Oryzias latipes: one gene and its partner. The protein of the gene in region 1 interacts with the protein of each later gene in a biochemical or structural test. Links are inferred from orthologs where the notes say so. Each region holds a gene or a part of one and is shown on either strand. Other genes may lie near its edges. The genes, in order: axl and gas6.

The links.
Region 2: the proteins of axl (region 1) and gas6 form a complex in vitro, tested with the Homo sapiens proteins (2 studies listed by BioGRID and IntAct, with this or other methods). The link is inferred for Oryzias latipes from reciprocal best matches to the Homo sapiens genes AXL and GAS6.

The regions. Positions count from the first base shown.
Region 1 is NC_019871.2:3,186,462-3,189,635, reverse strand, and holds the end of axl (tyrosine-protein kinase receptor UFO), read left to right. Parts: intron 1-226; coding exon 227-363; intron 364-485; coding exon 486-933; 3' UTR 934-2,482; downstream 2,483-3,174. Other genes in the region: galectin-4, read right to left, coding at 2,569-2,956, 3,022-3,110. UniProt on the Homo sapiens protein: Receptor tyrosine kinase that transduces signals from the extracellular matrix into the cytoplasm by binding growth factor GAS6 and which is thus regulating many physiological processes including cell survival, cell proliferation, migration and differentiation.
Region 2 is NC_019861.2:16,493,563-16,497,382, forward strand, and holds part of gas6 (growth arrest-specific protein 6), read right to left. Parts: intron 3,772-3,820; coding exon 3,653-3,771; intron 3,434-3,652; coding exon 3,244-3,433; intron 3,168-3,243; coding exon 3,003-3,167; intron 2,909-3,002; coding exon 2,740-2,908; intron 2,557-2,739; coding exon 2,417-2,556; intron 2,343-2,416; coding exon 2,141-2,342; intron 1,462-2,140; coding exon 1,310-1,461; 3' UTR 1-1,309. UniProt on the Homo sapiens protein: Ligand for tyrosine-protein kinase receptors AXL, TYRO3 and MER whose signaling is implicated in cell growth and survival, cell adhesion and cell migration.

The DNA of each region.
Region 1 (3,174 bases):
TGTGTGTGTGTGTGTGTGTGTGTGTGTGTGTGTGTGTGTGTGTGTGTGTGTGTGCGTGTGCCGCAGACACCAGCAGGGAGCAGCTGTTAATCCTGAACATGCTTCAGGAATGATGCACAGGAAATTCTCCACATGCTTCCCTGTTCCAAATCCCGGATAAACCCCCAGCTGAGGGTTTTTTTTCTTTCCAGAAAACTTCTCACCTGTTTGTGTGTCTCTGTCTCAGTGGTCATTCGGGGTCACCATGTGGGAAATCGCCACACGGGGTCAGACGCCGTATCCCGGTGTGGAAAACAGCGAGATTTACGACTATCTGAGGCAGGGAAACCGCCTCAAACAGCCGCCAGACTGCCTGGACTTGATGTAAGTGGTGACGAAAACCACAACTGCTGTGACAGCTTCAGGCCAAAAATGGATCTGTTTTATTTATTTATTGACATATGTTCTCAGACCATGAGTGATTATTTGTGTTGTTGGCGTTCCAGATATTCTCTCATGTTCTCCTGCTGGCTGCTGAGCCCCAAGGACCGCCCCTCCTTTGAGGCGCTGCGCTGCGAGCTGGAAAAGGCGCTGGAGGACCTGCCGGATCCTCAGGACCCCGACGAGATTCTGTACGTCAACATGGACGAGTCCTCCACGGAGCTGGGAGCCGTGGGTGGCCGTGACCCCCTTGGGGGACTGCCCCCCTTCTGCCTGAAAGGCCGCGACACGGTGACCACGGTGGAGGTCCACCACCCCAACCGCTACGTCCTCTGCCCCCAGCACGAGACCAACCGCCCCCTCTCGGACTCCCTGGACAGCCTGGACATGCCGGTGTCGTCGTCCACGGCTACGCTGCCCCTGCAGCCGTCCCGAGACTCCACCCCCACCCTGACCCCGGACCCCCCCTTTGAGCTGCGGGAGGACAGGGACAGGAAGATGCCCTGGCAGTAGAGGACTTCCTCTGAGCTGCCCAAACCTATCACTGCCAAAGAGTGCCGTCCCGGCGGGGAGAGCTCCCCCCAGCCGTCTGCAGGCTGGGACGCGCGCCCCCACGTTTTACACATGGCGCTTTTCACGGGAAGGACCGCCACCTCTTTTCACGAGTCAGACTGAACTTCCTGTCGGTACGACAAGCGCAGACAGCTGCAGACCATCGGTGGCGTCCGTCCACCGGCGTGGAGCCGGGCGGTCACGCCCAAAAAACACAACAAACCTCTGCGGAACCAATTGAGCATGCCCAGATAGAAACCCCACCCCTACTTGGGAAAGGAGGCGGGCTCATCCTCAGGATGAGCAGCAAAAGATTTTTTAAAACCCGAATCCTGAATATTAGTTTTGAAAAGAAAAATGACTAATTAGTTTCACTTTTTTAAAGCATAAAAGTTATTTTTGAACAGCAAACTAACCAATAAAATCTCAGACTTCAGTGGGAGGAGCCTCCACGGTTTCTGGGAGAACATTTGATGTTCCAGACGAGGCTTTCAAACGTCCGGATCCACCTGGGTTTTACTGCTAAGTTCTCCTTTGAGATCCTTGAAGAACAAACGGGATCGGACAAACTCAGGAAGCTCCGGATCTCCAGAGGCTGCGGTTCTGCTGAGGCTAAGCCGGTCCAAACAGGTGCGGTCCAGGGGGGGTGGTCTGTGAGACGGCACGGATTCTCCAAACGAAGGACGGGTTCTTCAGCTTTGTTTTTGACTCAAGCACAGTGTTGTTACACCTTTTTATTGTTTTTCTTTTTGACATTTTCTACAACTTTGCACTAATGTTTTTGTGTGTTTAGACTTTTGGATCTTTCAGTTTTTTAAAGGACATTTTTGGATGATTTTGTTCTGCTGAAGCCCTCCTCCAAACTATTCCTTAAGCCAGAGAACAGAAAAGACTTTGGGAAGTCCAGCAGTAAAATCTTTGCATATATGCACTTATTTTTGTGGATAGAGAATCTGTAGACCTTTTGCATAGTTTTTTTTTAATCCTAAAAACAAGTTCCTGCACATATTTTGGGGAAAAAAATGTTTTTTTTGAGGCGCTGTTTTTGTTTTCGGTGTAATCTGAGCACAAACACAACAGTCGTGATCTTCAAACCATCGGCTGTGTAACCCTTGTGCTGTCCTAGGCACTTTGACATTGGGAGTTGGGTCATCTAGACCCACTAGACAGTGCTCTGAACCTTTTTTCTTCAATGATTTGTGATCTTCACTGGTGTCCATGAAATCTTTCCACCTTTATCCACCTTTGTCATGGTAGGGAGAACACGTCAATGTAAGGGGGGGGTCATCTTGACCCCATAGGATAGCACAAGGGTTAAAGTTGATTTCTTTTGGTGCTGTTTTCTTCCAAACTGCCTTCAGAGAGCCAGTATTTTGCATTAAAAACACGTCTGGAATGTTTCACCTGTTACCGATGTTTTGTACTTGGAGAAGACTGTACAGTTATTGTCTTTGTATGCAAACAAACCTTTCTACAGTATTTTACAATAAAAATAAATGAGATTCCTCGATTTTGGTGGTTTCTTTTTATTCGAGTCGTGTCGTATCTCGGCACAGATCGTATTCTCACATGACGTCAGTGCGTCCAGAGAACGTCCTAAAATTGGACGTAGAATATCTGCACGTCGCCGCGGATCTCCAGCATGTTGATCTCGTAGAAGGACATCCGGTGGGCGAAGTCGAACAGATGCTCTCCGTTCACAAACACCTTGAACTTTTGGTTTCCACAGCGAATGGACATCTGGCAGCGAGATGGAGGATTTACTGAAAAGGACGGCGCGTCTGCACCAGAACTCACCTCCGCGGCGCTCTCACGTACGTCAAAGAACTGCCCCTCCCTGAAGGGGTTGGTGCTGAGCTGGCGCTCCTCTTTGCCCCAGTCGCCCCCAATCCTGCTGTTGCGAACCACCTCCCCCGCCTTCACCCTGGGGTTCAAATGGAGGGCCGTGTTCCCGGACCCGCTCGCCACGAAGTTGACGGCCATCCTACGACGACAGCTGACGGTTAGAGCTGCTGTGACTCGGCCGTCGTGCAGGTGACAGAGACGCACCTGTCCGCTCCAGACGGCACCCTGCCTCGGATGATGAAGGTCTTCTTGGGGTGCATTCCTCCGTGGATCATGGTGGAGAAGGGAACAGCCTGAAAACATCAGAGTCCGACGTGAGTCTGCAGGAGGAGATTCGTCCACCGATGGACCGCCGGT
Region 2 (3,820 bases), on another chromosome or scaffold:
GCATCCATTCAAACAGAAAAGTAACGAAGGAGCCCTTTTGGCATTCTCCTCTGACATTCTTTTATTTTGTGGGTTGCTCAGCACCGATAGATAAAGACGGGCTCCTATAGACCTCCCGGCTATGGCTCCACCTGACTCTCCAGCACTTTTTACATCCGTCTGCCGTTACAGAAACTTGTGGTGTGGGTGGAAAGACGTTTTTAGTTCAACTTTGGATCGACTGTGCATGAAACCACAGGGAATGAAGGTAGTGCCTCCTTTCTGTTGTGTGTAAAGCATTGAACAGTCACGTTATTTACAGACTCAGCATTTCACAGCACACTCATGGTCGTTCTCAGTAGCTTGTTTGGTAATGCAGTGCTCTGGCCCCGCCCTGTGCTTCGGCGGCCCTTCCATCCTCTTCAGGTTGATCGGTGTGGCAGCTTTAACCGTCTCCATGACTCAAAGAGCGGACGGTGGGGTGGGGCTTTGGTGACGGAATTGTCTGATAATCCACAGGTGAAAATGCATCGCTCTCTGCAAGGAGGTTGGTTTCAGTTTCCGTCAACAAGACGTGCTTGATCTCCTACAGCACTGCACCCATGTGGAATTATTGACCTGTTTGGGGGGGTCTGGACGTGTTCGGGCTTGTAGTTGTTTTGTAGGCATGAGGTTGTTTTTCTTAAGGTTTCAGGCAGACATTGAGTGCTTTGCAGCAAATGGGGAAATCCAAGACAGTGGCTTCACACGCTGCAGTCCACTTATACCTACAACTGTGTGCAAGGTCCAACACCACAACTCAGTGTGGGGCTATGGGGAAGGAGTCAGCATTTTAAGGGCATTTAAGTCCACCGTTAGTCCAACTCTTGTGTTTTTTTTTTCATTTTTCTCAGCGTTAGCACTTCAGGCTTGGAATATAAATCTAATCCAAGCAACACAAATCCCAAACCTGCTCTTCACCTCTTTATTTAAGCATATCGGTGTGGAGCAAAGCACTCCTCCCCTCATGGCTTACAAGGCTGCAAAAGTTGGGCAGTTAATCAAGAAGTCCAGGTGTCTTACTGATGATGGCGATAAGCTGCTGTTTGTCTGATGTGCGCCGCAACACTGAGAAAACTGGAACAAAAACCCTGCAAATACCTAGAAGCAGCACTTTCATCACAGTGTGAGGGTAGTAAGTGATGGTGTGCCAGGGCTTTAGCTGCACTGTTTTACTTTTTAAGCTAAAATCCAAAAACCCCCTCCTTTGTCAGAGCGTTTAAAGTTTTCTATTTTTTTTTAAACCATCCTCAGTTGCCTGGACAACCTTCTGGAACACAGAGCAGGTTCGTCACTGGTCAGAGCCCAGCAGGGGGCAGGAGTGAGAGCGGATGTCATTGTGTTTGTGGATGGCCTGGTCCAGGTCCAGAGAGCGTCCATTCACACTGACCTCCATGCAGCCGCTGTAGGGCGCCGACACGACCGTGGACACCAGAGGCACATCTGGGGAGGAGACAGGAACAGGACACTGCTGTCACGCCAGACCTCACATTACAGTGTTCCATTGTTTATTGTGGGGGTTATGTTCTAAAAACAACCTGCAATAGGTGAAATCCAAAAGTAGGATTATAGATGTTTTAAGGCTGTAAAATGCCTCACTACACACTTTATACATTTGTCTCAGACAGACAAGAACACGAATGAAACCTGATTTGCTGTGGCGACCCCTGAAGGAATACACCTAAAGGTGAATAACAACATTACAGAAAGAGAAAGATCTGCTCGCAGTCTAGGATTTATGCAACTCTGGCAAGCCGAACGCATTCTGTACAGGAGACACGGTACGGATGAGATTGATTAACAATGATCTCAGGCCAATCAGGACGCAGATTACACACTGTTGAAAAAGCAAAACATGCAAAATTGCACAAAAAAAAAAAAAATCTGTGAATTGAGACTGCAAAAGGTGAAGCGAGATAAAGTAAAGGACATAGATATGTACTACGTTCTACTTGGGTAACTTCTTATAATAATAAAGGGCAATTTTTACTTTTACTTTTTATTTGAGTAGATTTTAAAACTGTACTCGTATTTCAACAAAAATTCAAATGATGAACTAAGCAGCCTTGTTTAACTGGTGTCTGGATTTGTACGAATGCCTTTGATGGAAAGAGCTGGTCACCTGGGATGCCTCCGATAAAAGTGCTGGAATGTGAGAAGAGGTTAGTGGGAACTTCCACGTCTTCAGTCCTTCCAGCTTCGCCATCAACCAGAAGTGAGGTCTGGTTGCCTGAGATGGTCACTTGGATGTCGTGACGTTGGCCGTCACACAGGAGCGCAGGGGAGCTGGCAACGATCACGTTCCCCACAGAAACCAGAACAAACTGCAGACAGGCAGAAGATGAAGATCAAGGTGTGCAGAGACGTTCTGAAGACGAGTCAGCGATGATGTACTCACATCTCGCCATTCATCGGTTAAAGGGTTATAGTCTGCCAGAGCAATAGACAGAGGCACTTTGTCCTGGTGAACAAGGGCAAACAGAACGCCGATACCAGAGAGTGGGAGCAGGGTCAGCTGAACTGTCAGGTTCTGGGACTCTAAAGTGAAGCAAATAGGAAATCAGACGGTCACAAAAAGTAACATGAAAGAGGATAATGTTAATGAGGTGAACAGAAAGTTAGGATTCAACCATCTGCCTCAGGAAAGAAAACTGACAAATTTCTACAGGTCCTCTGGAAGCTTTGATTATTCACCAACCCGCGAACACCACAAACACACACCATAGGTGATGTTGAAGAGAGCGAAGCCGGCTCCAGGGTAAAATGCTCCGGGAACCTCAGTGCTGAAACACTGCATGTTGTCGTTGGACTGGATGGTTTCCTGTATGGAAGTGTCTTCACCCGTCAGCCAGCGCCAATCTTTCATGCAACCATCAAGGCGTGGATTCAGCTACACAATTAAGGAACGGGTATGAAAGTTCAAATATGAGTAGCTGACATCCGCTTTGGTGCATCTCTGGGAAAAGAAGAAGCCAAACAAACACCTGATTGACGAGGCGATCCTCTTTGAAGGGGACTCCTCCAACGGTCAGGTTGAGCTCGTGCATGCCTTTCTTCAGCGTGAACAGATCCCCGTTAACCGCGATCTTCATCACGGCCTCCCGGTCAATCTTGATGACGAGGCTCCGCCCCTGCTCCTCCACTGAGATCTGCGACAAGCAGACCCCTGTCAGTTGATCTGCACGGACATGGCAGCTCGTGACAATCCTGAAGGCACGCTCTGACCTTCCTCCACTGCCCGTCATTGACAACGGGCCCGCTGCTGGTGACTCTGCTGACCGCGCCGTACTTCAGCTGCAGCTCCAGCCTCCCACGATGCATTGCTACCACAATCCAGGAGCTGTTCAGGTGACCGCCTGCAAAGAAGATCACCCCCTCTCGATCGAAGGTGCGGAAGTCAAACTCTGCTGAAAAGCTAATAAGAAAAGAGGGATATGCATGAAAGAAAAAAAAAGTCAAGTCAACTTTATTTATCAAGCACTTTTTAAAAACAGCAGAGGCTGACCAAAAAAGGATAAAAGAAGCAAATCAGAGAAAACTATGCAAAAAAGAAGAAAATGAAAGACAGTTTTACCATTTTTGTTGAGGATATGCAGAACTGACCCACATAAAAATATATATCCAACATTCTCACCCGGTATGAACCCTGCGACGAAAACGAAGGCGAACCACCGGCACGCCGCTGAACATGCGGCCCAAATAGAGAGAACGCGGGTTTCTCTTTGGGGACTGCATCATGCAGCGAGTTATATTCTGAAGAAGAAATAAAAAAACTGTAAGGCACTACTTCTTTACAATACAA